4 linked regions of the Diceros bicornis minor genome follow. Each later gene encodes a partner of the first gene's protein in a complex. Links are inferred from orthologs where the notes say so. Each region holds a gene or a part of one and is shown on either strand. Other genes may lie near its edges.

Region 1 (7,125 bases):
CCCGTCAGCTCCAGGAGTGCAAGTGGCAGCCACCTTCTTCAGGGGATGCTGCTTGGGGACAAGTGTCCTAGGAACGGAATAACAGAGGGCCGGTATTTGGGGATGCGTTAGGCTGATCTGAAATTAGACCCCCTCTATTTTTTCAAAGGGGAAAACCTCAAACAAAGCCAGCCCCAGGTCCCCGTGAGATGACCGCTGGAGGCAGGAGGGTGGGTGTCTGCCGCTTGAGCATGCTTGCCCCCCAGCCCCACCGAGCGAGCGCCGACTGGCTGTCCCCGTCTGGGGGAGACCTGGGCAAACCGCTCCTACCTTGTTGGGCTCACCGTTAGGATTCAGCATTTTCGAGTTTCCCGGGAGTGACAGCAGGGAGGTTTGTGGCTGTCTGAAAGGTCTGTCTGGAAACACGGCCTGGGAGAGCGGGGCTGCTTGTTCAGGCCTTGGTTTGCTGATTGCTCTCCAGCAAAAATCGTTTCGTTTCTGCCCTGACGCGATGCCGTGCATTGTAGAGCCTCGCTTGGAATGATGCCGCTTCCCCTCGCATTCCCGCTTTCAGGAACTCTGGCTGGTTTCTCTGACATTGAGGCAGATGTCGCCGTTTAAAAGAGATGTTCAGGATTCCTTCCACACCTCGCGTCTCATGCTTTGGTGGCTGTCAGTAAACAGACCACAGTTCAGCAGCGCCAGGTGGAAGGCTCTTCAGAGAGGTCGTGATTTCCACTGACTTAATGAGGTTAATGTCTTTGTTTCGTGTTTCCATGTCATGGTGTTCATTCACGTGAATTCCCCCGAGCCCACCAGTCTGCAAGAATAGATTTGCAAAAGGCAGGCTACAGAAGCAGTAGGCGCCGCGTAATTAGCAATGGCTATTGAGGAGGGGGCTGATTTTCCTTGAGCTGGGGATGGGCGGCAGGATGGTGAGGAGGAGCAGCGAGAGGTCAGTGTCACTGTGCTTTAAGCTCTGAGAAGCCAGAGGGCCGAGGCAGAAGCCCCAAGCGTGGGCTTGCCCTCCCTTCTGCCGGCAGTGTCCTCCTGGGGACCCTTCATCCAAGGACCCAGCCCTGCTCGAGTTGCCTTGAGAGGCAGCGGGAATAGGCCCCAGTGTGAGGAAGTCCGGGGAGCTGGCTTCTGTCCTCTCCCACCGGTGGCACTGGTGACCGTCAAGTCCCACTGTGCCTTCTGTGTCCTTCCTGCTCTGGGGGGTCTTGCCTCCCTTGAGGACCTTAGCAGGAGGAACATCTCCCAGCCCCTCTTTTGCTGTGCCCACGCCCCACTTCTCCCACAGATCTCCTGGCTGGAACCTGCCCTGGCTCCACAGGACCCTCGCAGCAGGAGGCTCTGGGCTCCCTCCATGCTGCAGGTGGCCCCGCCCCACCCGCAGGCCCTCCCGAGGAAGGGTCACAGCAGAGGAGGCCCAGCCCCACAGAGAGGGGCCCTCCAGATCCTGGCCGCACCTGTCCTGCACCCGTCTCATTAGGAACGTGTGCTCTCCGTGAGACGTTTCATCCTATTCAACATTTTCTAGTGATATTTGGTATCCGCACAGCTTCCTCGTAGCACTCAGGCCCATGCTCATGTGTACCCTCTCGGGAGGCCCCATCCCCCCTGCCACCCTGTCTTGTGTATTTTTGTCCCGACACCAGCTATCATTACTGGTGTCACATGCCACGCCTTGTTGTTGGTGGCCACCTCCCCGCGTGCAGCAAGCTCCCGCTGCAACACCATCCCCTGCCCAGATGTCCAGCTGGTCCTCTGCAGCCCGAGGCAGCCTATGCAATAGGCCTCCGCTTGTCCCACTTCACAGACGTGGAGACTGAGGCTTGGAGTGGTCGAGATGTCTGACTAGGTAGCCCTGAGTGGGTGCCCCTGCCCGAAACCTGGCTGCTTAGCCACACTGTCATCCCAGCCCCAGGGCCTTGGCTAGATTTCCAGAGCCAGACCAGACCAGGGTTGCTTTTGGTGGGTGATGACTTGAAAGCTAATGGTTATTGATCTCGGCCTGGCTGGGCCTGGCTAGGAATGCTCATCTGAGGTGGGTCCTGCTTTTTGGGTGAGCTCCTGCAGCTGCAGGCTGCATAGCTGGTCTTCTCTCTGAACATGGACCCCCCGGAAGCCAGGATTGGTCTGCTTTCACCCCACCACACGGCCAGCGGCCTCTGAAGCAGCTGCCTGATGCTGCCCTGTGTGCACTTGGAGAGGGGGTGGGAGGGAGGGAGCTGCTGTCTGTGGGCTTCCGTGGCACCATTTCCTGAGACAAACCCCCACCCTGGAGCCCCGTGCCCTTCTACTGCCCCCAGAGTGATTCTCCCAGAAAGGGGGGATTTTTACACCAGGGACATCCCTGCCTGCTTTAGTGTCCATCAGAGACCTTAGTCCAAACCTCTGGGGGACGCCAGAAGTCCTGGGCCCTGCAGGCCCCTTCCCTTGGACCTGAGCCACAGTGAATGCGAGTCCTGGCCGAGGGGCCCCCCACCCCCCAGGAGAAGGCAGCTTGCGGAGAGCTGTGCCTGAGTCAGGGAGCCAACCCAGCCCCCCCAGGTGCTGCCGGGCACTGGCAGGGAAATGCCCAGTTAGTGTTGCGGGCACTGAGCAGGCGGCAACAAAAGCAGACAGAAGAGTGCCCCCTGCCTGGACCTGACCTTCAGGGGGATCAGATGCAACAAACAAGATGATTAGAGGAGACTCCAGCACGTTAGATGATGACACGTGCCGTGGACAAAAACCGCAGCAGGAAAGGGGATATGGAGTGTGGCTAGCCCAGGCGGCTCCACCACCTCCACACTCAGGGACCGAGCCACAGCCTCTGCAGCTGCCTCTGCTCCCGGGACAGCCCCTCCAGCCCTTCCCAGGGATAATCGGATTTGTTCTCCCTCGGAGCAGAGGTCGGGACAGTGCTGGTTCCTCCAACTCCCAGGGCTGGGCTCCGGGACCCCGCTCTGCAGCTGACCCTGCGGGAAGGGTAACTCCATCTCACCTCTGTCGTCAGTGACTATGCTGGGGCTACCGTGCAGGCAGCTGCGCCAGGGTGGAGGGCTGTGGTCAGGTGCAGGAGGAGTCCCTGGATTGTAGGCCACCTCTGCCCCTTGGGGCCGTGTCTTTGTTGCCCGGTCAAAGATGCTGCAGGATGTAGATGCCAGTCATGATGCCACCCTTCGTTGATGCACTCATTTATGCACATGAATTCACACACAGTAAATGGTAGCGTCCCATGCACACACTTCTTCCCCTGGCCTTTTTCCCACTGTCTTTTAGGACTCATTGAATATCAGTCTGTGTAGAGACACCTCTCTCGATGGCAGCACAGATTTCCATGATGTGGCTGGACTGTCATTTACGTAACCAGTTTCCCCATCAATGGACATGTATGTTGTCTTTAGTTTCCAAGAGCGTGCAGACATTGTTTAGGATGACTATTTAGCAATGGTGCTTAACATTTAAGCTTTGAAATTTCCTCATCCATACTAAGCCTATTCCCCCTTCTTTACCCCTCTCCTTAAATGCATCCTGCTCAGTGTTTCTATTGCAAAACTTCGTGGATTGTGACATAGTTATCACGGAGCGTGGCGCCCTGAGAACTCTGCTGTGCAATGGCGCTTTCTACAAGCAGAGAATGTGTATGGATAGCACTTCCCTTTACAAGGCTTGGAACAAATGAGCAGGGTCTTCCTGGGGCAGGGCCCCCTGGCATGTGGGCTGAGGCACCCCCGGCCTAATCACACTGGAGTCTGCTTCAGTGACAGGTGTGCTGCTTCCCGGGGACAGCCCTTCACGGGTTTTACTCTGGGAACGCCTCCAGAGAGCACCGTGATGTCGGGTCTTCGGCTGTGGGGGCTCTGCTCTCTGCATGCTCCCTGTGCCCCTGTGTTCATTTGGAGCACTTTTGAGCTCTCCCGCCTGGAATGTGGCTTCGCCTGTGCTTGACTCACGGGTGTCGGGGGGAGAGGGCGGCTTAGCCAGAGCTCCCGGCCAGCTTTGAGGACTGAGAATCTCATGCCAAGAAGTATTTACATCCAGGGGCCTGGCCTCGTCCCTGGGCATCAAGACCCCTTGGTGGCTGCTCTAGTTGGAGGATGTGTCTCTGCAGCCACCGCTGCCCTGGGGCCAGCATCCAGCCCGGGCCCTGGGGGCAGCAGCACGCTCTCTAACCCGTCGCCACCCGGCGTTTCCCGTCTGGACAGTGGTGGCTCCCAGGCCAGGCGGTACCATGTTGTCCATGACGTACAGCGAGAGCCTGAGGAGCGTGAGCAGCAGGTGTCACTCTGATTGGGCCCTGCACCCCGTCCGCCAGACCGACACACTAGAGCTGCAGCGGCTGCGGGAGGTGCGGGCGGCCGCCCAGGCCAGGAACATGGAGAGCTTCCTCCGCATGCACGGCCTCTCCCTGGATGGCTGCACCGCCCGGCGCACGGGCATGAAGTACCGGTAAGGGCTGGGCTGGGGCTGGGGCGGGAAGTACGCTGGACGTGGCAGGAGGCCCGAGGCAGGTGCTGCAAGAGAGAGAAGCCCAGGAAACATGAAAACAACTTTACCGTATGTCAGGGTCAATATTTTGTGTTTAAAAATGCCAAGCATATAGAAATGTATAAAGGAAGAAAATGAAAGTTTGCACAGTCCTATCCTCCAAAGAAAAGCACCGTTAAGTTTGGTATATTCTCCGTGGGAAAAGAATGTGGTTTCTTGAAAAAACTTTGCAGCAGGGGTAAACGTGCTATTTCATTTGTCTTCTTGCAACGTTGCTGAGACAAATTAATTGTTAGGAGTTAACTAAACATGAATTAGGGAAAATACCTCAATTCGTCATCTCTAATGACAAACCCTACCTGGCGCCAGAAACCCGGGTTGGGTTGTGGGGGCAAAGACATGGTCCCCTCCTTTCCATCCTTAAATTGAGCTGTCCTCGTGGGAAGTGGTTTCAACAGGTGGCCTCTGAATTGCTTGCTGCAGCTCCGCCTGTAACTGTGATGGTGAAGGCTGTGGATTAAATGACCCTGTGTTCTCCAGGGGACAGGCATGTGGGGCTTAATTTCCTGGGAACCTCAGAAGGACATTCTCTTTAGCTTGCTCATTGTTGAAATCAACGTCTGGGACAGTACTCCGGCCTGCCTACTTTCTCCTCTGGGAGCCTCAGAAAGCAGCCAGAGAGCCCTGGAGCTTGCATTTTCCGTTATAAATTGCATATATGCAGCTTTATTCCTGCGCCTCCCAGGGACAAGCCCTTGCCAGAGCCAGTTGGCCAGAGAACACCCTCTCCGCAAATAAAATACAGGATGCCCAGTTAAATCTGAATTTCAAATGAACAGTGAGTTTATTTTTTTAGTATAAGTATGTCCCACATATACTAAAACATTTTTCGTTGTTTGTCTGAAGTTCAGATTTAATTGGATGTCCTGTATTTCATCTGGCGACTTGAAATCTTTAGCTTCCATCTAACAGGCCCCTGGGGTTATCGGCTGTTCTCTGGAGAGTAGAGTGACCAGCCTGTGGCTTTAACATTTCTCCTATGGACAATGTGTTTGGGCCTTCGGCTGATTGTTTGAACATGTGGTTGTCATTTAAAGCAACAAAACACTTCTGCTGTGAGTCCATTAGATGGCAGAATCCTTAAGGCTTTGTATTCTAACTCCAGCTGTAAGGGAAGCTAGTTTGGCCCCAACGAGCTCCTAATTCTGATGGAAATTTCTCAAAAGGGAGATGAGACTCTGCATTTTTTCTTTTTTTTGGCAAGTCATTGATACTTTTGATTAATTCAACAAGTGTTTATTGAGGATCTACCTGGCTCCAGGGAACAGGTGTGCCAGATGCCACATGGACAAGACAGACAGCGTCCCCATCCTGGATATCGCTTCCTCAACGGGGGAGGCAGAGAGAAAGCAAGTGGACACCTAAGGGAGTAAGGGGAGCCGGGGACGACTTGGGCCAGAGACCCCAGCCATCTGAAAGGGGACATTTGAAGATATGCGGCAGACCCTTCTGGGCCAGGGAGACAGGCGTACTTTTGGAGAGAGAAGGCCTGAGTGGCCTGGCCTAAGTGAGGACGGCGGAGAGCTGTAGGGATGAGGCGGGGTGGCCAGAGTTTGTCCTCCCCCTAGGAAGACCCCAGCTCCCTCCGTTGAATATGATTTGTGATAGAGGGTGCACCAGGGTGAATCGTGTGCCCCAAAATTTCATCTCCACCCGAAACTTTATTTAGAAATGGGGTCATTACAGATGTCATTAGTTAAGATGAGGTCCTACTGGAATGGGGTGGGCCGTAAACCCAGTGACTGGTGTCCTTATAAGAAGGCCATGTGAAGACACTCAGGGAGAGGCCATGTGACAGTGCAGGCAGAGATTGGATGGATATGGCCACAAGCCAAGGACTGCCTACAGTCACCAGAAGCTGGAAGAGGCAGGAAAGATCCCCCCTAGAGCCTTCGGAGAGAGTGTGGCCCTGCTGTCACTCAGCTTTCAGACTTCTGGCCTCCAGACTGTGAGAGAATCGATTTCTGTTGTTTGAAGCCCCTCCGTTTGTGGTACTTTGTTATGGCAGCCCCAAGACACTAGCACAGCTGGCAGGGGGTGGGTGGAGGGGATGGGGACGAATCTCTTATGTGCCTGACACCCCAGGAAAAGGTCTGTGTGGCATCTGAAACATGCAGAACTAACTGGGGCCGAAATACCCTGGGAAAACTGGGTGGGAGAAACAAGAAAACCACTGGTGGCACCTTTCGCATTTGATGGGCCAGAGGTTGTCACACCTGCGGGCCTTTCTTTATCTGGTGGATTTCATCTTGCTGCATCCAGGGGGGGTTGGTTGTCTGGAAACAGGGCCTCCCTAACTAACGCCACCAGTTATTAAAGATTCCAGATAAATGCTGTTCCGCAGTTAACATCCCCATCAGCATCTGGGCCAGGACTCAGTTAAACTTGGTCTTAAATAGTAATATGAAAAAGGTGATGCCTCCAGATAGGTGATGCTCGGTGGAGCAAAGACACCCACGCCACTGGCCGGACGTGTTATCGGCTGAACTGAGCCTGCAGCTGGGGAAAAAGCTTTCTTTTCAGCTTCTCCCATTTGTTTTTAACTGTCCTCAACTCTTGCTGTTTAAAACAAATGCACTGAATTTTTAAATCTGCACGATCCCCATG
Region 2 (7,787 bases), on another chromosome or scaffold:
AAGGGGGTGCATCTCCCAGATGCTGTGTGCATTTAATGAGGAAGGAAAGGTGGCACTGATGTGGTGGGTTATGTATTTGACATGAAGTGGTCTCAATGTGTCTTTCTGAAATCCTGGCTCCATAGGCGACTCCCATCTTTGGAAACCCCTGAGCCAGTGATGAAGATTTGCATGAAAGCCATGGATAGATATTCTGTGTTCTAAATCAAAAATCAAAAGATCAAAAGTCACTTGCACAACTATTGCTTTCCATGCAGAACCAGATACACACTGTAGAACACACTGACTACAATGCAGGCTATTATGCAATATCTGCATTAGTTCCATTGAGCTGGGAGGATGTTATCAGGTTTCAATCAGACATCAGTTAACATTTTGGTAATATTCACATAGTTTGTATTAGCCAAAGTGCAGTTGGCTGTTTTCAAGTTTTCCTCTCTAAAGTCCTCGTTACTGTTGTTTACCCCCTCCTGGATCTCCATGTAATCAGACTTACTAATGGTAGAGGCACTTCTACTTTTCTTTAGGTCGGGGGAGGATGGGATCTTTGGACAGCTTGTCACTTGCAAGTACTGGGCTTGCTCCTCTCCCTCTGTCTCCCGGTGGTAGAAGTAGTTGAAATTGGACACTATGACGGGGACTGGTAAGGCGATAGTTAACACACCTGCAATTGCACATAGGGAGCCCACGATCTTTCCCCCAATGGTAGTCGGAACCATGTCTCCATAGCCTACAGTTGTCATGGAGACTACTGCCCACCAGAAGGCATCCGGGATGCTGGGAAACTGGGAATCTCGCTCATCGGCCTCTGCGAAATAGACAGCACTAGAGAAAAGGATGACTCCGATGAAGAGGAAGAATATCAGGAGGCCCAATTCTCTCATGCTGGCTTTGAGGGTCTGACCTAGAATCTGGAGACCTTTGGAGTGTCTGGACAACTTGAAAATCCTAAAGACTCTTACCAAGCGGATGACACGGAGGATGGCCAGCGACATGGCCTGCTGGCCCTGTTGGGCATCCTCTGGCTTCTCAGCCAGCTCCGTCCCCAGTGTGATGAAGTAGGGGATGATGGCCACAATGTCAATGATGTTCATGATGTTGGTGAAGAAGCCGGCTTTGCTGGGACAGGCAAAGAACCTCACCAAGAATTCAAAGGAGAACCAGATGATGCAGAGGGTCTCTACAATGAAGAAAGGGTCAGTGAAGGACGTCGATTGCTGGTACCCAATGGTGCTGTTGGAATAAGTGTGGAAGGTCACTCCACTGCCGTGCATGTCTTCATTTTCATCCCGGAATATGGGCAATGTCTCCAGGCAGAAGCTGACGATTGAGATCAAGATCACCATGACAGAGACAATAGCTATAATCCTGGCAGGCCCTGAGCTCTCTGGGTATTCAAAGAGAAGCCACACCTGTCTCTGAAACTCATTTTCGGGCAGAGGACGCTCCTCCTCTTTGATGTAGCCTTCATCTTCCCGAAACATCTCCATCGCTTCTTCTCCCAGCTCATAAAACCGAATTTCCTCAGAGAATATATCTAAGGGCACATTCACAGGTCGCCTCAGCCGGCCCCCAGACTGGTAGTAGTACAAAATGGCATCGAAGCTAGGGCGGTTCCGATCGAAAAAGTACTCATTTCGGAGGGGGTCAAAGTACCTCATCCGCTTCTTTGGATCCCCTAAGAGGGTCTCTGGGAACTGGGCTAAAGTCTTTAGCTGGGTCTCAAACCGCAGCCCTGAGATGTTGATCACCACCCTCTCACAGCACTCGTGGTCTGCCTCTGGGTCATAGGTGTCCTGCGGGTGCCCAGGGAGGGCAGCAGCCTCATCCGCTGGGTCTCCGGTGGCCACTGTCATAGTTGGAACTGAGAGAAGCGCCTCACGCTACACTTTCCGGCTGCCTGGCGGCAGGGACCTCAGGGTGCTGCTTACGGCCCCAGGAAGCACAGGAGCATTGGCCTGGGCTCCTGCGAGAGAGCCCCAAGGGCTCTCTGAGAGCCAGGAAGACAGCTCTGTTTGGCTGAAAGACAGAGGCAGTTAAGGACATGACACCACTCGGCATTGGCAGCCCAACCTGGATTGCCATTCCTCGTCCCCCATCTCTCAACCGAGTTCAGAAACATCACCACCACCAGCAACAACAAAAACCAAAATTTACTTTCACCTCATAAACTGGCTGGGGATCATAGGGGAGTAGACGACAGTCTCTCACGAAAGCTCTGGAATTGCCCTGCACTGGGGGAAGGTGGCTGGTACAGGCCCCCCTCTGCACCATACAGGCTTCATGGAGCATAAACCCATACTAGAGGCTGGAAGGGAGCCCTCCCCCAGGCACTAAACTAATGTCTTGCAGATACCCGCACCCTGGGAGGTATTCATCACACAGAATCTTAGGCCTGGGTCTCCCTCACTGCACCTACCCCATGACTCTACACATGGCTGTTATTAAATGATAGAGTTATTTACCTGGCAAAGCAGGAATCTGAAGCTCTCCTCCTTGCAGAGCTGATCAGATGGTGCAGGAATCCTAGATACACAAACAGGCTGTCTGACTCCCCATCATGTCTTCTCACTTGAGCTAGAAATAATGGTGAGTCATTCTGGGCAGGAGGGCAGGCTCCAGGTCCCGGAGGTGAGCTCCAGGGCCGGGCTGGGCTGGGCTGGAGGGGCAGCGGTGTGCCTGGCCAGGGGCACGCAGGACTCGAGGACAGCCGAGCCTGAGTCTGGAGCCTTTGGAAGGAAGAAGGCCAGATGCAAAGCTCAGCAAAAGCCGGAGTCCTCCTGGCTGTCTTCAGGGGGTGTGACGTTGCCTGGAAAAAACAGCAGCAAGGTGGAACCAGGGCTTTCGGGGGGCTGGTGCCAAGAGTCAGGAGGGCTCTGGCAGCTTTCCTTCCAGGCCCATCTTCCATTCTGGTGTCACACCTAAGAACTACCCCTCAGCCTCCTAGCCTCCTCTGGGCAGGCTTCCATCAGCTGAAAGCATTTTCTCCCAGGAAACAAGCCATCAGGCTTGGCTGGGCCTGTCTCCTCCAGAGGCCTTACTCGGCTAAGCCAGGTACCCCGACAGTCCTCAGCAGCCATCAGGAGGGACTCTGGGCAAAGTCCTCCCACCCCCAGGTCAGGACACAGCGTCTCCCAAGGGAAGGGCTTCCTACGCCGCAGCCTGACTACAAGCTCTGACCCGGCGGGGTCCTGCGGAGGAAGGAAACGTCCCCACCTCCCGAACACACATTCCTTCAGAGCTCATCTGGGGAGACTGCTCACACAGAAAGGTTGGCTCTACAAAAGCTGGCCGGCTGGGTCCCAGGACTTACTCTCCCTCGGGGATCCCTAGGCTGCAGGATTCCCTTTGAGTGGGGTGGCATTTGAACTGGGCAGGCGCTCGACCACCGGTTTCTCCCCAAGAGAAAATTCCTCAAATCTCCTCTGCAGGGAGCGCAGAAGGAACGCTCAGCCAGCCTGGCTGAGAGGCGGCTTGGCAGCAGCGAGAGGGGGAGCCTGGAGAAAGCCGGCTTCCGGGCTGGCCCCCTGCCGGCCCAATCCCGCCGGCCCCAGGGCAGGGAGGGGTCTGGGCCCTCTCCCCATCTCCCCGGGCTCCGGCCGGGATTCCGGCGGGCGCACACCGCGCTCGGCTCGGCGCCGGCAGACCAGACCCACGAGCTGGCAGCGGCCGAGAGCGCCACCTTAACCCCCTCCTGCCCGGTCCACTGGGCTCTCGCTGTGGGTCAGAGCGCAGCCCAGCTTTTTTGCCCCTGGGGTCCAGCCGAGGGACCACCGAGGCTCCATCTCCACCCGAAAACACTGGAGCCTGAAATCCGGGGGTGGTGAGCAAGCTGCTGCCCCAGATCTCAGCTCCTTGCCAAGCCCGGGGGCTCCACGGCAGCCCACGGCCCCAGGGAAGCGGAAAAGCCCTTCTCTGCTGCAAAGCCGTTTTCATTCCGAGTCAGAGAGGGGAATGCAGCCTGGCCGTCCCAAGTGATTCGCGTCCTACCAACCGGTGCGATTTACCAGACATAGTTATGCTGTCAGCTGCACTTCCCATCACCCGCCAGCCCCTCTCTGCGCCTCCGCCCCGCACCGCGCACAGGCAGGCAGCCTAGGGGGTCCCCGAGCCCTTTCCGTGCCTTCTTCTTCGACAGAGCACCAGCCCCCCTCGCCCGCCCCGGCACAGGCAGGCAGCCGCGGTCCGCACAGGCTCGCCCGCTCCAGACTCGGCCCGAGCCCGCCGCGGGGCAGGCTGCGCCGCCCGGCGCCCCGCAGCCCCTCTGGGCGCCACAGCCGGCGCAGGGAAAGCACCACGCGCAGCCTAACGCCCCGACACCGATTTACCCTTCTGGGTGGGCACCCGGAGCCTCCATGTTCCTGGGTGACCGCAAGCGGCGGCGGGGTGCGGGCGGCCAGCCGGGAGCCCGCTCTGCAGTCCCGCGGGCGGCGCGTGCCGAGCGCCCGGCCGCCGCCCGCAGCCGCACCGCGCCACGCAGCGCCGCACCTGGCCCGGCAGCGAATTCGAATTAAAGGGGCCGGCGGGGGCCAGAGCCGGAGAGGCGCGCCGCGCCGACACCACCGAGCTGGCCTCTGAGTTGGGCCCCCGGGCCTCGGCCCCCACCCCACGAGGACAACACCCCATTCTTTGGCAGAGCCCAGCTTACTAACCAGAACCTCGTGGAGAGCTCAGCTGGGTGCTGCCGGGGCCGGGGAACGGGGGGCAGAAGTTGAAGATCGGTCATGAAAGGCTCCTGCCAACATAATGAAGTAGGCGAGGAGGAAACAATCAATAGCAGCTATCCCAGGCCCGAGGAGGGATCCAACCCCGCGGGAGATGTGTTGCTATTATTACGGTGCTGCCAGACAGAATCTACAGAACCCCTCCTGGCCCTCTCGCACCGGCTCGCTCCCTCCTCCTGCTCTGCCTCCTCACCTCCCTCTTACCCAGCCAAAGCTTTGGCTTCGCAGGGGAATGCAGCAGGTGCGGGCCGCAGTGTGGCATAAACTCGTTGCTGTATTCGCCCCCACCGGGAGGAGCCGCAGGAACAGGCAGAGCTGCAGAGCCGACCATCTCGGCTGCCTCCCCACAGGGCCGGGCAGGCTGGAGTCGTGCAGCTGCCATAGCGAAGAGCCAGTTACCCACAAAACAGGCCCCCTCACAGACCTTAACAAAGCCAGGTGGCCCACGGGGATCCGAAATTGGGAGTGCAGCTCATGGCACCCTGGGGTGGGCAGAGGAGGATGACCTTTGCTTTTGGAAGAATATATGTGGGAAGTCCAGCCTGCCCTCCGCTCAGATGGTGGATCTGAGAGGGTCCAGGGTGCTCTTGGGAGCTCTATGACAGCTTCAAACTGTGGTTCCTTGAGCCCAGACTGCGGCACACAGGACCCCTGGATGCAGAGGGGCTCCAGTCCTGGGGAGACTCCTGCTGGGCCCTTCTTGCTCAGACAACCCTCCTCTCTAGGCCTGTAGCTTGTGATGGAAGCTCTGAGAGCCCACAGGGTCCAGCTCTGTGGGATTCCAGCATTTCATCAGGGTAGTCTACCAGGTATGGTTTAAGACTAGAGGCCAACTCAGAGCTGCAGAGGATGGTCTGGGAGGGCAGTGACCTCAGTGAGCTCTGGGAACGACAGATGACTGTAAGGCAGGATTGGTTTGGTTTAGGGCCCCTAGAAGCTGGGCCATCAATGTCCCAGCCTGAGTATGGCCTGGAAGTTTTGGAACCAGCCAGACTGGGACTTAAATCCCTGCCAGGTACTAAGCAATTAATTCACGTCTCTGAACCTCAGTGTCCTCATCTGCAAAATGGGGATACCTCGCAGGCTGTTGTGAGGGTTGTTTATGTAAAGAGTTTAGCCCCCAGCAGACACTCCACAAATGATGGTTTCTCCACTCTGCTTCCCTATGAAACTGCCCTCCTAACTCCAGCCTCCAGCTCAGCTTTTGACTGTTTCTCTAAGGGCTGGATCACCAGGTTTTGTGGCCCCATTCCCTCCGCTTCCCAGTTTGCCCCACCCCTCACCTCCTTCGCCAAGCTGTCCTCCAGAATCCTGCTCCACACTCCTCCCCTGACCACGCTGCAGGGCTGTTTTTCCTCCTTGACACATTGGGTCCTCATGTCAATTAAAGCACAATAGTCTTATCCCTTTGATGGGGTCTATATATTTTCTTTGCCCCCCTTTTTTAAAACGAAAGCCATGGACGGAAGAAAGCTCTTGAGGGAGAATCAATAATCGTGCTAATTGGTGACGTGCTTACCATGTGTCAGACACCATGCTAAGCACCTCTAGCCCAGTGTGTGTTTAATCCTTACAGCTCTATGAGGTCGTTTCTATATAAGTACCATTTCATGGAAAAGGAAACTGAGGCAGAGAGAGGTGAAGCAACCTGCCCAAGATCATGAAGTGGTGGCTCTGGCACTTGAATCAGGTCTTTGTGACTCTGGGACACACACCCTTAGCCCCCACCCCACACTGCTCAGGTAGAATGAGCAGCCCTTGACATTCATTTCTCTCTTTGGGATCGTCCTCTGACCCTGCTCCATCTCCTGATGGGCCTCAGGGGTGTGTCGTCCTGCCTCCCCCCTTTAATGCCTGATCTAAGTGTGAACAGCAGCCAAAAGAAATTAGCTAAAGAAAGAAAGAAAGAAAAAAGAAAAGAAACATAACAGTTGTCCAAGGGCACACGGTGTGGCTTGGCCCTGGAATGTAACTCCTGGTTTGGCGATGCTCTGTGAGAAAAGATCGCGGGCCCAATTCCTCGCTCTGGCACTTGCTAGCTGTGTGAACTTGAGCAAGTTATTTAAACTCTCTGAGCCTCAGTTTCTTAATTTGTCTAATGGAACAACAAAACTACTTTACCAGGTGGTAAGGATTAAGTGAGTTATGAACAGAGGACAGCCAGCTGGCTTACCCTAGGGGTTCAGTCACTGTTAGCTCGCTTTCCAGCCCTAGAGCAATCCCCATTTCTTATTTTTGGCTGCAAAAGAACGGCTGGAATGCCCCTTGATCCCTTCCCTCGGGTGGGTCAGACCCCCAAAGACCACTCCCCGCCCCTCAGTCTGGTTTCCTGCTAGGGCCATACCTTGCCTTCAGCAGAGGGAAGGACCAGTGACCACCACAGTGAGTGACCTGCCCCTGCCCAACACAGGAAAGTTGTTGGTTCCTGTGCTTGTGACTACAGTCACTGGGAGGAGGAGTCTATGATGGTGCACCCACCCATGCCCATGCCCACCCTCCCAAGGCTCAGGAGGGAGGGTCCTTTATTCTTCCTGCCACAGCTCATGAACACAGAAGACTACATGAGCTCCCTTCTCAGGTGTCACTCCCAGAGGACCAGCTCTCCTTCCTTGCATGACTACCACCTCAGTTGATGTTTGTTCCTCCCCCAACCCACCTACCCTGGGTGCTGTGGCGGCACAGCCCCCTCTAGCCCACGGAGGCGGGGCAGGGAAGCACGGAATGCGAGCCCAGGCACTGTGCTGACAGCTTTCCATAGGTCGTTAGATTTCATCCTTGCAACCACCCACTGGGAAAGATGCCATGATCTTCATCTTACAGCTGAACGTTGAAGCTCAGAGAGGACAAGTCGCTGTCCAGGGTAATTTAGCCAGTAAGCGGTGAGGCTGGGACAGAACTCAAGACTGTCCGACTCCACTAATCACTATTCTGTTCAGCTGCCTGCTTTCGCTGTTAGCCGGAGGCCGGCCTCTGGGCTCAATTCCTGGTCTTAGGAACAGGGGTTCGGTCCACAGAGCTTGCAGACCCTTAGGGCATATCCACACATCCACTGGAGGCTGTCCA
Region 3 (7,228 bases), on another chromosome or scaffold:
CCTGTTATGAAGCGATCATGGCAGGCTGAACTGGGGCAGTGGCAGTGAGAATGGAGTGGTGAGGACAGAACTGAGAGGGACTTGAGGGAGAATAGAAAGCACTTAGTGACCGACTGGATGTGGGGGGCACAAGAACAATTCAGAGATGACATCGTATTCTAGCATGAAATTGAAAAAAAAAAAAAAACAGGAAGAGAAGCAAGCTTGGAGAGAAAGATAATGAGTTCAGTGTTATAAATATTAAGTTTGGAGTATCTGCAGGAAGAATATTCAAGTGGGCAGCTTAAAGTATAATTCTGGAGTGCAGGATAGACCCATCCAGGAGGGTAGGGAGAAGGGAAAATAGAGAAAAAGGGAGGAAGTGGCACCTTAAAAAAACAATTCTTGCATATCTGCATAGCCCAGCTGGGTCTATGAAACAGAACCAGAACTGTACAGATACCTCTCCAAATAACCCCCTATACCAGCAAAACTGGCTCACTCACTGTACCTTACTGTGCCTTGTGCACTCACACTGCACCTTTTCCTTCCTCCGTTCAACATATGTTAATTAAGCATCTATTATGTGCCAGGTACTGTGCTAGACTTGGAGGAGACAGAAGTAAAAAAGTCAAAACCCTGCTACCGGGCAGTTTATGTTTTAGTGCAGGACACAGTCAAGGAGCAAGTAACCAAATAATCATAAAATATAATTTCAAGTAAATAAACGCAATAAGGAAAAATAAAGAAGATAAGAAGGTAGAAAGTTACCGAAGGAGGAGACGGAGGGGAACTCTTTGAAATCAGGCGGTTGTGGTCAGGGAAGACATCTCTGATGAAGTGACATTTTAAACAGAGACCTAAAGTGTTACAAAGAGCTGGGTGAAAATCTGGACGAAGAGTGTTTCAGGCAGAGGAAAGAGGAAGTTTGAAGACACTGAGGGAGGAGCCAGCTTGGTATGATTGAGAAACAGCAAGACAGCCAGCTTGGCTAGACTAGACCAAATAGTCACGGAGTGTCTTATGACACTTCTGGTAATATTTATTGTTTGTATTGTTAACTAATACTGTCACAAAGATTTTCGTGGATTTATAGCCTATCTTCCAAACTCCACGTAAGCCTATTGAGGGTGAGGTCTATGTTCAAACTTCATACTGCCACAGTGCCTAGGACTGTGACTTGCACATAGTATGTGTTCTTCCTCCATTCATTTATCTGTGATTGTAATTAGTGGTAATCGCTAGGCCTGCCTTGTCCCACTCTCAAACACTTCTGAGCTAACTCCAGAGGCTGCTAACCATCTGGAACTGACTGGTGAGCTATTTCTGGTACTGCTGTGATCAGTTAGAAACTCAAGCTATGTCCAGAGCAACTCAGAAAGCCCAAACACCAAGATTTACCCTTGCCGTTTGCAAACCTGATGGTTTTACTTAGGGTCTAATATGGAAGACTGAAATATGAGGAATTCTCCACATGCTCAGAGAAGCTGTTGGCTTTGCCACAGTTCTATGCTTAAACATTATAATAATATTATTATTATCCCACAGGGGTGTCATGAGGAATAATGAGACATTTTCAAATCACTTTGAGCTACTCCATTGGGGGTACTAAATAAATGGTATGTGTTCCTCCTGAAGTGCCATTTTTGACATTGATTTCTTGTGATGGGTTCTGCCGTACAACAGGGCTGGAATTCACCCACCAACTCATTTCCTACAAACAACAGACTAGCTGTCAGAAGGCAGTGGTTTTCAGTTAAAATAAATACGAATTGAAGTGAACTAGTCGGCAATCAGAAGCAAATAGGCTGCCGTTAGAAATCTAGTATTTATTAAGCACTCACAGTAATCAACATAAGAGTTTCACAGTGTGATACAGTAGAGCGAACATTGGATTTGGAAATGGTCCAAGGTTTTATGCCTAGCTCTGCCACTAACTAGCTGTGTGAGCTTGAACAAACTGCTAAACTTCTTTGGGCCTCACATAGAAAGTAAGGGCTGTCCTAAGAAGCTCATAACCAGTCTTCCAGACAAGGCAAATACATGGAAGGAATGGAAATAGTCATTTCTGTAGGAGAGAGACTTCACAGCAGGGAGAAGCTTGTGACCATTCATCACAGGGCCCTCCTCTGTTCTAGTCTTCCTTGCCATTGATTAATATTAATTTCAGTACTAATTCCTGCAAATGGAGAAATAAATCACTTTCTAAGTCAGACATAGAAGTGCATGAAACATTTGGTCTTTAAAAATAGGGTCTTTGCCTTTCTACGAGCCATCCTTGCAGTGAGCCATCTGTCTTATTCCTAGATTTAAATATATGAATGATTGATTATACTGCTACCCTAATCACCAGCTCAAAAACAGTGTTCTAGTTTTGTGAGAATGTTTTACATGGTTGTCCACTTTTACCACCTTACAACACATGTTACTGCCTGCAGTGGCCGGCACTGACCTGGAGGTGAAGTGGAAGATAAGAGGACCCTGAAGAACATGAGTGCTTGTTGTACCCAAAAGAGGCAGAGTGGAAACCATGTGGAATAACTGAGTAATGTACTGTACTGTGAACTCAGGTTCCCCTCACCCCTCATCCCAGGAATCCCAGTGGTCCTGGCCTCAGAGAGGAGAAATGTTGACACTCCAGAGCAGACAGAAATGCAAAGAATCACTTACTAGGGAATTCAATTCAACAAACATATACTGAGTTTCTACTATTTATCAGGCACTTCGATAGTTGCTAGGAATATAAATTGGATAAGACCGCGTCTCTGCCCTAGCAAACCTCACGGTTAGGAGTGGCGGTGGGAAGCAATGAACACAAATCACTCTTACTACAAATGGAACTCTCACCTAAGGTATGATAGGTGAGGGAGTTGTCTAGACAACTGTTCTTCTTTTGTAAATGATTTGAATGATACAATAGAAAACACATTTTTAAGCCTAAGGTTGACTCTGAATTGGAGTTGCTAAAATGTCTGGAAACAGAAATTGTGTTCAAAGTGACCACAACCATTTGGAGAAATAGTTTAGGTTCAAAGGGGATAAATGTAAGTTATTATCTCCAGGCCAAAATCAAGCAACAGAGATACAAGTTTCAGAATGAATGTTCTCCCAGTTTAACTACTAGAGTGTGGCAAATTCCCTCCCACAAGGCCAGCAGTGGAACATTAAGTAGAGGGTCTAGGTACAGGTCTCATTCCCCTCCCTCCCAGATACTTGCGATGTGAATTTCCCTTTTCATTTTCCTCTTATTTTCCCACTGACAGGAAATCTCACCATACTGAAAAGACCAGGCCCCGGCCAATCTCAACCAGAAACTTGGTCCTTGGTTCTTCCCAATGGCTGAACTCTCAGCTGCGCAAGTTAGAGTGAACTATTCACTGCAGAAGTGAAGTCCCTGAATGCCTTTAAAGACCCATTATCTTCAGATTCCGGGTGCGAAACTCATCAGCACCCATCACTTGGTTCTGCTTCTCATCCAAAAAGGAGCTAAATTATTGACAGCCCTGCCGGCCTGGCGGTCTTCTGCCCTCAGGTGGACTCAGGATGCTGGCAGCAGGCTTGCTTCTTCCCCAGGCGCCCACCTGGCCTGCTCCCTCCCCCGACACCCCTCTGGGTCCAGAGCACATCCCCATGCTCCCTCCTCGCCTGCCTCCCCTCTGCCACCTCGGCTCTGCGGGGCCCGCCTCCCCGGCGGGCCCAGGTGGAGAGTGCAAGGCGCGGAGGCCCGGGGCGCGCGGGGCCGCGAGTGGCCCAGTGCCGGTCGAGCAGCCCCGCGCCTGGGACGCGGCCTCGCGAGCCGGGGGAGGGGGGCGCTGACCAGAAGCCCGTCGTGCCCAGGGGCCAAGGCTCGGCGGCCGGAGTCCCCGAGGTCCGCCTCGGCTGAGCCAGGGATTGGGGGGAACACTGGGACGCAAAATGAGGGCGCTTCCGTGACCTAGAGGGGCGAGGAGGGCGGGGCGGCTCCTCGGGGGAGCGGGGCGCGCGGCCGCGCGGTGGGCGGGAATCCTGAGGGGACGCGGAGGGGCGGGCGCGCGCCCCACGGGGGAGGAGGCGGAGGGGAGCCGGAGGAGGCGTCTTTTCGGAGGAGCCGGGCGCACCGCGCCAGACCCAGACGGAGCCTCGCGGCGGTGGCAGCGACAGCAACAGGCGGCGGGCTCGGCTCGGGGGCGGAGGCGGCGAGGGGCGGGGAGCGCGAGGAGGAGCGACGCGGCCCCGCGCCGCCGCCTCTTCCCCGCCGCATGGACGAGCACCTCAGCCTCCTGCGCTCGCCGCCGCCGCCCTCCGCCCGCCACCGCGTCCACCCTCCGCCACCCCCCGCGAGCGGCGGCGGCGCCCACACCCTGGTGAACCCCGGCTACGCCGAGCCCGCCGCAGGCCCCGAGCTGCCGCCCGACATGACCGTGGTGCCCGGGGACCACCTGCTGGAGCCCGAGCCTGCGGACGGCGGCGGGGCCCCGCCTCAGGGCGGCTGTGGCGGCGGCGGCTGCGACCGCTACGAGCCGCTGCCGCCCGCGCTGCCGGCCGCCGGGGAGCAGGACTGCTGCGGGGAGCGCGTGGTGATCAACATCTCGGGGCTGCGCTTCGAGACACAGCTCAAGACCCTCTGCCAGTTCCCGGAGACGCTGCTGGGCGACCCCAAGCGGCGCATGAGGTACTTCGACCCGCTCCGCAACGAGTACTTCTTCGACCGCAACCGGCCCAGCTTCGACGCCATCCTCTACTACTACCAGTCCGGGGGCCGCATCCGCCGGCCGGTCAACGTGCCCATCGACATCTTCTCCGAGGAGATCCGCTTCTACCAGCTGGGCGAGGAGGCCATGGAGAAGTTCCGTGAGGATGAGGGCTTCCTGCGGGAGGAGGAGCGGCCCCTGCCCCGCCGCGACTTCCAGCGCCAGGTGTGGCTGCTCTTCGAGTACCCGGAGAGCTCCGGGCCGGCCCGGGGCATCGCCATCGTGTCCGTGCTCGTCATCCTCATCTCCATTGTCATCTTCTGCCTGGAGACGCTGCCCGAGTTCCGCGACGAGAAGGACTACCCCGCCTCGCCGTCGCAGGAGCTGTCCGAGGCGGCCCGCAACAGCACGTCGGGGGCCCCCGCGGGAGCCTCCAGCTTCTCGGATCCCTTCTTCGTGGTGGAGACCCTGTGCATCATCTGGTTCTCCTTTGAGCTGCTGGTGCGGTTCTTCGCTTGCCCCAGCAAAGCCACCTTCTCGCGAAATATCATGAACCTGATAGACATCGTGGCCATCATCCCTTATTTCATCACTCTGGGCACCGAGCTGGCTGAGCGACAGGGCAATGGACAGCAAGCCATGTCCCTGGCCATCCTGAGGGTCATCCGCCTGGTGAGAGTCTTCCGCATCTTCAAGCTCTCTCGCCACTCCAAGGGGCTGCAGATCCTGGGGCAAACGCTGAAGGCTTCCATGCGGGAGTTGGGGCTGCTCATCTTCTTCCTCTTTATTGGGGTCATCCTTTTCTCCAGCGCTGTCTACTTTGCCGAGGCAGACGACCCCACTTCAGGTTTTAGCAGTATCCCGGATGCCTTCTGGTGGGCAGTGGTAACCATGACAACAGTAGGTTATGGTGATATGCACCCAGTGACCATAGGGGGCAAGATTGTGGGGTCACTCTGCGCCATCGCTGGTGTCCTGACCATTGCTTTGCCCGTCCCTGTAATTGTTTCCAACTTCAATTACTTCTACCACCGGGAGACCGAAGGAGAAGAGCAAGCCCAGTACATGCACGTGAGAAGTTGCCAGCACCTCTCCTCTTCAGCCGAGGAGCTCCGAAAAGCAAGGAGTAACTCGACTCTGAGTAAGTCGGAGTATATGGTGATCGAAGAGGGGGGTATGAACCATAGCGCTTTCCCCCAGACCCCCTTCAAAACCGGCAATTCCACTGCCACCTGCACGACGAACAATAATCCCAACTCCTGTGTCAACATCAAAAAGATATTTACGGATGTTTAATATATGATACAAGTGACATGCTGTGCTCAGTATTATGTGGAACATGCCCCCTTGGTCTTTGTATGCCCTCGTTTTATACGTTTCCAGGCCATTCATCAAGGAAAGAACATGAAGAGGTGGAAAGCACACTTCCTTCTCCCTCTCCCTACTGCTTCATACTGAAACAGGTGTCTGTTTTGCAAGTGGGCTGCATTCTCTCAGCTCTCCTTTTTTTTTCTCCCCCTCTCTCTTAATATTGCAAACAAACTTACTTTAAACTTGATTTCTGGTACAAGTCCTATAAAAAAAAAAAAAAAACCCGTATATCCTGGGAGGAAATGAAACTAAAGAACAGTTAAGAGTAACTGTTTAACCTCAGAATTAAAAGGCAGTTGTTTCTTTACTAAGTAAAGTAGGCACATACTTAAACTGTGCTTGGGTTTGATGGGCCCGTCAACGTTATTGAATCTTTAGTTCAATTGCCTATGCTGTGGATATGTGGATGGAAAGTCTAATTAAAACAATGACTTGTAAACCCACCATATTATTTGGTTTTTGACTAGAATTTCTATTTGGAACTCCCCTCCTGGAATTTTGAGCTTCTCTGCAACTTTGAACAAAGGGGAATGCCCAAGATGTCCTGATCTGACTAATATAGTTTAACTCTTGGGGGCTTGTTAAGCATTTCAAAAGTATTAGACTAACAGATTCCTGTGAAGTTCTGTGTGTGTTCCAGCCAGCATCTATCAAAGTCTAGAAACAGATGTTTTCAGTGCTGCTGAGAGAAACAAAAAAATTTCCTAATGCATCTGAGAGATAAGCTTCTGCAGTATCACAAGAAGATTAAAGTGGCAGACACTCCTTCCAGCGGAACTTACTAATTCGGACCTGACTGATGCAGTTCCCATAGCAACCCATGTTTCCTGGGAAACTCGAAAAAGGTTGTCATGGCATCTCTTGCTCTCTAGCCCCACCCCCTAGCCCCTGCCTTTTCCACAATAATCTTTCCAGATGTTTTCTACTTACATGATTTCATAAAGGAAACCACTGTTTGAACAAAGTCTGAGAATCTTCGTGAAGTGGTGAAATGAATCACAAAATGCATATTTTTTTACTACAAAAAAATCATTGATGTCATTCCATAGTGACTGAATTGAGAAGGAAAATATCGTCTTTGGAATGGTTAGATATATACCACAATAAGGCATGATTTGAATTAAATGCCAGTAATAAGGCAATAATTTTAAAAGATGGTTCTCTGTTTCCTTCGTTCTCCAAGAAGTTTCAAGCCAACAAATGAAATT
Region 4 (7,142 bases), on another chromosome or scaffold:
GTGCTTTAATGGAAGGTGCGAGCCCCGGGCAGTGAGAGTAAAGGACAAGGGAAGTGAGATAGGGAAGGAGAGGGTGCAAATACCAGGTGGTGTGGCACCAAGCTGGCCACTGCTTCACGAGCCACAAAGAGATACAGCCCTGTCTCCAGACCATGTGGTTGCTTGTCCCTGAAATGAATTAAGGGGGAGGGAATTTATCTACAGGCTCCATCCTATCTCGTATCTCCCACTGGGCAAGCTCCCACTGGTCCATTTAATGCTTCCACATGGCTGTGTTGCTCACCTGGACCTTTTTGTGGTGTTGAGAAATCCTGATTCCACTCATTGCTGTGTGGTCAACCTCAGGAGGCAGGACTCTGTTGCCCACACAGAGCTGGCTGTTCCAGCAGCAGCTGAGGCAGGGCAAGTGGCCACAGGGCAAGAAGAATGGAGAGGTGGAGAGAATCTGAGGAGAGGCCTCAACTGCTCAATACAGTAATAATTAAGATGTACAAGGTCCCAGACTTTGTGTAGCTCACATTCTGGTGGGAGAGAAGCTGTCCAATCCACTCCTCCAGTAAATGACATCACCATCCACCTAGATACTAAGGCTACAAACCTAGGAGATGTTTTTTTTTTTTTTTTTTTTTTTTTTTTGTGAGGAGATCAGCCCTGCGCTAACATCTGCCAAGCCTCTTTTTTTCTTTTTGTTGAGGAGGACTGGCCCTGGGCTAACATCCATGCCCCTCTTCCTCCACTTTGTATGGGATGCTGCCACAGCATGGCTCAACAAGCAGTGTGTTGGTGTGCACCCAGGATCGGAACCGGCGAACCCCGGGCCGCCTCAGCAGAGCACGTGCACTTAACCGCCTGCACCACCGGGCCGGCCCGGAGACGTCCTTGAAATATTTCTTTCCCCCACGGCCCAAATCCTGCCATCTCTACGTTCAAAATGTAATCCTATTCCAACCCCTTCTCACAAGCCTACTACTGTCTCCCGAGTCTAAGCCATCATTGCTTCTGCAACTTAACCTCCAAACTTGCACTTTGTTTCCAGTAGCCAGAATAATCTTTAAAAATGGCAAATCATGTAATGTTAGTATATGGAGCCAAGTCCTCCAATATCTTCTCATTGCACTCAGAATAAAGTGAAGTATTGTTACAGTGGCTTAAGAGGCTCTGCATGATCTGGCCCCTGCCTACTCTTCTGACCTGCTTTCTACACTACTCTTCCTTGGTCACTTCTTTCTAGCCACGCTGGCCCTCTTTTGTTTCCCAATATGCCAAGCTTGTACTTGGCTGGGGGCGGAGGCCTTTGCATTTGCCTCTACTTCTATCTTTCTGATCTCCCCATTCCTTCTCTCTCTCTTCTTGAAGTTCTTTATTCAAGTGTTACCTCTGCAGAGAGGCCCTTCCTATGCATCCAAACTTATATTTGTCACTCTCTACCCCTCTGCTTAATTTTCTTTACCTAAGATTATAAAATGTATGGTTTATTTATTGTCTATCTCTCCCACCAGGATGTGAGCTCTGTGAGGGCTAGGACCTCATATGTCCTAGTTATGACTATGTCTCCAGCACTAGAACATGTCTGACACATAGCTAGGGTGGAGCAAATATTTGTTGAATGAATAAATATCTTCAGACCCTTATCAATGATGGGCTTACATCAAGAATGATGAATGACCATGTGCTAGCTGGACAACTTTCTTCCAATTCCTTGGGAGTCCAGTTGTGCTCTAAGCATATCTGCTAGGGAGGTTGAAACCTCCAGATCTTATTATGCCCTCTAATAAAACCCTGAATTTAGGAAGCTGGGATCCCATGCAGTCTGCAAGCCTCTTCTAGTAAGGCAGTCTCCAAATGCTGAATCAGGGCAAGTGCATCCACATGAGGCTAGGGAGATGACAGTCTTAGGGGCACTTAAAAGAAGGAAGGGGGCTACAGGCAGAGGGAGGGACAAGAACAGGGTAGGGGAGCCAGTATTCCTAGGACATGGTCAGAAAATGTTTATCAGATCTAGCAGGGTTATCTCCCTAGTGCTGTTAACAGCAGCAGCAGCAATAGCAGCAGCAGCAACAAAAATAAGGCACTGGACCAGCGCAGAGCTTCCTGTTTTATGTCCTTAATTTTTTTTACAATAAAGCAGTAGTGCAGAAAGCTAGGGAACCGTGGAGTTAGTGGGATACAGGAATACGTGTGCCGAAGGCGGGGAAAAGGCAGCGTTCAATATGAGAAAGAGGAGATTAAGAGAAGTCATTGCTAATAAAAGAAAAGCTGGGGTATGGATCCAGCAGAGCAGAGCGGAGGGAACAAACACTTTTATTTTTCTGAAAGGAATGCTGGCGTCTGAATCTGGAGGAGGGACTTAACTAGCTCTCTACCCAGGATTGTTGCACTGCCTGGGCTTTCCACTAGCCACGATAGAGTGCGGGGGCGGGGGGAGATGCAATCATTGGCTTTGATTAAAGAGGTGGCTAGTGTGGGCGGGAGGCAACAAGACCCGTGGTGGTGCGAAGGGGTGGTACCAACGCAGCGGGGGAACCAATCAGCGGCGACTCCGGGTTCTTCAGCCTCCTCAGAGACTCAGCAGCAGTTGAAGTACCCGAGCTGCTGGCTGCCTCTGGCGGGCTGCAGGCGTGGAGGCGCAGCGCCTTTGGGGGCGCAGCTGGAGCCGCACTCCCAGTGCACCGCGCACGCCCCCGGCTGGTCCTGCCCTGCGCCTCTGTGCGGACCCTTTCCCGAAGAAGTTGCAAGCCTTGCAAATGGCCCTGTGGAGGCACTAGGCCAGGATAAGAGGCTGCGGGAAGAGGGACGTAGGTGGGAGGTGGGCAGGCGACTTGCTTCTCAGATACGTCCCAATTAGCACCAAGTTGGCAGACAACCCCACAAACCCACCAAGCCTTAGATTGCCCACAAGTCACATTCTCCGTATTTTACAATAATCTTATAGTGAAAACTTCAACTCCCGTCGTAAGTCAAAGAGGGACAGACTCTTAGCACCACCGCCTCGCAGTAACGCTACACAGAACAAACTCAGGTGATCCTCAACCGCAGAGCTCTACCCAAAGTCGGCATCTCTCCGAGAAGCTGGGCTGGCCCTGTAGAGAGCCCCCTGCCGGAGGGGCGGATGGCGTGCAGAGCGTGGCGCCCGAAGCGGATTATTGTGGGACTGCACGAACGCAGACCCATCCGAGGAGTTTTGCCAGGAACACCACCGCCTGCATTGCGTCGGACCTGACCATTTACAATGTGAAATTCCCGGGGAAGGTCGCGGCCAGGGACCGTGCGTGTGCGGGGCTGTGGACCATAAGGGAGGTAGAATTAGTGGTCGGCTTTTCTAGCAGGAGAAGGAAAAGGCCGTGCTGGCAAGGGTGGGAACTGAATGACAACCCCCCTGTGCCAAGCCACCCCCTCATATTTTCCGTCTACCTCCCCGCTCCTGCCCTCCCCCGCCCTCCCCAACCCACGCCCGGGTGGGCCAATCGCTGCTGCGCATTCCAGGCGCTTTCTCAGGTTTCTGCTGATCTTGCAGCGCCCAGAAATGGACCGAGCGGACCCGCCGCCGCACGCACCCTGCCCCACTCGGAGCTCCTAACGGCTCCCGGCGCGCAGCAGAGCCTCGGCGAGAGCCACGCTGGGGTGCGGGAATCTGAGGGGACCCGAGAGCCATGTAGATCCAGGCTCTTGCTCGCTCGCCTCCTTCGGGATCGATTCAAGGGCTCCCACAGTGTTAGGAGGGGGCGAGAGTGCTGTTTATCGTCATTTGCTTCAGAGCTTCGGGAGAGGGTGGCATTTTGCTTTTCTGCCCCGCATCCTCCGGAACTCCCTGCACCAGAGAGAGGACAGCGTCTCTAGGTTGCTGGCAACGGGTGAGAATGGGGGTAGGGGATGGACATTTCTGCCGTAGCTGCTCAGTAAAGCGACTGTCCACCTAAGGGCCGTAGGACGAGGGGGCGAGGGCGGCGAGTTTGCCCCGGCGCCTCTCGGATGCTGCGGCGGCGGCGGCCGCGGCTCCCGCCCGGGTACTGCAAAGGCGACCTGCCGCATTCCGACTCGGGCTCTCCGCCGACTCAGCACTGCCCCTGCGCCAAGCCTGCCGGCCAGGTAGGGAGCTCCCCATTTGGGGCTGCAAAAGCGGGGTTTGGGGCGACCGGGTGCGGGAAGCCGAGGGTGTGGGGATGCTGCCTGGGATCTGGAGCTCCCTCAGCGTCTCTCGGCGCTTTTCCGATCTCTAGTTTAACGAAGTTGTAACCAGATCGGCTGTTGGGCATTGGGGAAAGTGGGATGGAACAGCCCCAAACTTGGATTTCGGGGTGTCTGCGTGTGTCTGTCTGTGTGTCTGTGATAACCCTAGCAAAAGTCCAGTGCTGTCTAAAAAAGCTAGAGGTCTGTGCTCTTCAGTGTCTGTAGGTCCGTCCCATCTGAATGCTTCTGATTTTCTACCCCCATATCACTTTCTATTTCTCTGCAGCGTCCATCGATCGCCCCGGTGGGAGCTTAGAAGGCGGCAGGCGAAGAGGGGTAGAAGGGGGGAGAGCCGAGGAGAAGCAGAGGGGGTGGCAGGCGAGGGGATCTGCTGAGCTGGCTCTGCACCCGGTCCTAGGAGGGCTCGCGGAGGGGAGGGGAGGCCAGGGTGACACCCGAAGCGATGGCCCGGTCCGCTAGAACGGCACTGCGTTAAGGCACCTCGGAGCAGGAAGAAGTACCAACCCTCCCCCCGACCCCACCCCTCCGCAAAAAGCTGCACCCTGGCTACAGGCAAGGGGGATTCCAAACTCAGTAAAGGCAGGGTGGAGGGGAAGGTAACGAGAAGCGAAGTCACAGATCTCTGGACCTGCTCGCTTTGAAGCCCCTCCCCCTGAGCGTGGGGGAGACGCGCACTCCGGTGGGGGGGGCGCTCGGGTCCCCCCCACCCCTCCTCTCTCGCTCGTTTCCACCTCGGGCTCTCTCCCGGTCTCTCACCCCTACCCTCCGTTTGCACCATGACGGTGATGTCTGGAGAGAACGTGGACGAGGCTTCGGCCGCCCCGGGCCACCCCCAGGATGGCATCTACCCGCGGCCGGCCGACCACGACGACCACGAGTGCTGCGAGCGCGTGGTGATCAACATCTCCGGGCTGCGCTTCGAGACGCAGCTCAAGACCCTGGCGCAGTTCCCCAACACGCTGCTGGGCAACCCTAAGAAACGCATGCGCTACTTCGACCCCCTGAGGAACGAGTACTTCTTCGACCGCAACCGGCCCAGCTTCGACGCCATCCTCTACTACTACCAGTCCGGGGGCCGCCTGCGGAGGCCGGTCAACGTGCCCCTGGACATGTTCTCCGAGGAGATCAAGTTTTACGAGCTGGGCGAGGAGGCCATGGACAAGTTCAGGGAAGACGAGGGCTTCATCAAGGAGGAGGAGCGCCCTCTGCCCGAGAAGGAGTACCAGCGCCAGGTGTGGCTGCTCTTCGAGTACCCCGAGAGCTCGGGGCCCGCCCGGGTCATCGCCATCGTCTCCGTCATGGTCATCCTCATCTCCATCGTCATCTTTTGCCTGGAGACTCTACCCGAGCTGAAGGATGACAAGGACTTCACAGGCACCATCCATCGCATCGACAACACCACGGTTATCTACAACTCCAACATCTTCACGGACCCCTTCTTCATCGTGGAAACCCTGTGCATCATCTGGTTCTCCTTCGAGCTGGTGGTGCGCTTCTTCGCCTGCCCCAGCAAGACGGACTTCTTCAAAAACATCATGAACTTCATCGACATTGTGGCCATCATTCCCTATTTCATCACCCTAGGCACCGAGATAGCTGAGCAGGAGGGAAACCAGAAGGGCGAGCAGGCCACTTCGCTGGCCATCCTCAGGGTCATCCGGTTGGTAAGGGTTTTTAGAATCTTCAAACTCTCCCGCCACTCTAAGGGCCTCCAGATCCTGGGCCAGACCCTCAAAGCTAGTATGAGAGAGCTAGGGCTGCTCATCTTTTTCCTCTTCATCGGGGTCATACTGTTCTCTAGCGCAGTGTACTTTGCCGAGGCGGAAGAAGCTGAGTCGCACTTCTCCAGTATCCCCGATGCTTTCTGGTGGGCGGTGGTGTCCATGACCACTGTAGGATACGGTGACATGTACCCTGTGACAATTGGAGGCAAGATCGTGGGCTCCTTGTGTGCCATCGCTGGTGTGCTGACAATTGCCCTGCCCGTACCTGTCATTGTGTCCAATTTCAACTATTTCTACCACCGAGAAACTGAGGGGGAAGAGCAGGCTCAGTTGCTCCACGTTAGCTCCCCTAATTTAGCCTCTGACAGTGACCTCAGTCGGCGCAGTTCCTCTACTGTCAGCAAGTCTGAGTACATGGAGATCGAAGAGGATCTGAATAATAGCATAGCCCATTACAGACAGGCCAATATCAGAACTGCCAATTGCACCGCAGCTAACCAAAACTGTGTTAATAAGAGCAAGCTACTGACTGATGTTTAAAAAGCCAAGCAAACAAACAAAAAAACCCCACTTAGCAGCTTGAAAGACTTGAAACACAAAACAAAACAAAAACCATAGTGACCCATGTCACTCTTTGTAGATACTTGATACGCTCTATTTAACTGTCAATGCATTGTTGCATTGCGGATTTTGGGGGTGATGAACCAGAAGCTTTCAAGATCCATGAAAAAAAGAAACTATTTTCTTTTTATTAAAAAAATGGGAAGAGAAAGTGTATTTTCTAAAGCTGGTTTAAAAAAATTCAGTCCGTGAGCTAGTCTAGGTAAAATAAGACTCATGTGCTTCCGCATACTGAAACATTTTTAATCCTTTGGCTTCTTTGATTTTTTTCTTTTAACTAAAAATCAGATGATCACTTAGGAGTAGAAAAGTAAAATTTGCACGGAACTCCAATATAAAATCTTTACAAACTGCACCGCACAGTTAAGACAGTGCATCTGATGTATTATCTGTAACATGACATACCAGCCAAGATGGACAATGAACAAACGTTTTTATTTTGATCAACTGAACTGCATATCACAAGGGGAAAAAATTACTTGAGACTGGTTCACAAAGCACCTTATGCATCTGATACTGGTCCTGATCTGTAGGGATTTTCCCTCTGCCCCATTCCCTTTCTAATCCAAACTGTTCTCTAAGAAAAAGAGAACTGAGTTAAATTAATTG

Evidence for each region.
Region 2: the proteins of KCNAB2 (region 1) and KCNA2 are in contact, whole or in part, in a crystal structure (PDB 5WIE), measured with the Rattus norvegicus proteins. The link is inferred for Diceros bicornis minor from reciprocal best matches to the Homo sapiens genes KCNAB2 and KCNA2. Residues at the interface, in NP_059000.1 of Rattus norvegicus: Met193, Met196, Tyr199, Ser200, Arg203, Glu231, His234, Lys235, Ile236; in NP_037102.1 of Rattus norvegicus: Asp28, Glu33, Pro62, Met66, Phe69, Asp70, Pro71, Leu72, Arg73, Asn74, Tyr76.
Region 3: the proteins of KCNAB2 (region 1) and KCNA3 are in contact, whole or in part, in a cryo-EM structure (PDB 7EJ2), measured with the Homo sapiens proteins. The link is inferred for Diceros bicornis minor from reciprocal best matches to the Homo sapiens genes KCNAB2 and KCNA3. Residues at the interface, in NP_001186789.1 of Homo sapiens: Met196, Tyr199, Ser200, Arg203, Glu231, His234, Lys235, Ile236; in NP_002223.3 of Homo sapiens: Pro133, Met137, Phe140, Pro142, Leu143, Asn145, Tyr147.
Region 4: the proteins of KCNAB2 (region 1) and KCNA1 are in contact, whole or in part, in a crystal structure (PDB 1EXB), measured with the Rattus norvegicus proteins. The link is inferred for Diceros bicornis minor from reciprocal best matches to the Homo sapiens genes KCNAB2 and KCNA1. Residues at the interface, in NP_059000.1 of Rattus norvegicus: Met196, Tyr199, Ser200, Arg203, Glu231, Lys235, Ile236; in NP_775118.1 of Rattus norvegicus: Glu37, Met70, Phe73, Asp74, Pro75, Leu76, Asn78, Tyr80.

Annotation. Positions count from the first base shown.
Region 1 is NC_080752.1:26,154,404-26,161,528, forward strand, and holds the start of KCNAB2 (voltage-gated potassium channel subunit beta-2), read left to right. Parts: upstream 1-4,120; 5' UTR 4,121-4,201; coding exon 4,202-4,419; intron 4,420-7,125.
Region 2 is NC_080743.1:43,614,437-43,622,223, forward strand, and holds the start of KCNA2 (potassium voltage-gated channel subfamily A member 2), read right to left. Parts: upstream 3,003-7,787; 5' UTR 2,466-3,002; intron 2,020-2,465; 5' UTR 1,857-2,019; coding exon 357-1,856; 3' UTR 1-356. UniProt on the Homo sapiens protein: Voltage-gated potassium channel that mediates transmembrane potassium transport in excitable membranes, primarily in the brain and the central nervous system, but also in the cardiovascular system.
Region 3 is NC_080743.1:43,675,829-43,683,056, reverse strand, and holds the start of KCNA3 (potassium voltage-gated channel subfamily A member 3), read left to right. Parts: upstream 1-4,217; coding exon 4,218-5,945; 3' UTR 5,946-7,228.
Region 4 is NC_080756.1:56,621,356-56,628,497, reverse strand, and holds KCNA1 (potassium voltage-gated channel subfamily A member 1), read left to right. Parts: upstream 1-4,641; 5' UTR 4,642-4,964; coding exon 4,965-6,452; 3' UTR 6,453-6,632; downstream 6,633-7,142. UniProt on the Homo sapiens protein: Voltage-gated potassium channel that mediates transmembrane potassium transport in excitable membranes, primarily in the brain and the central nervous system, but also in the kidney.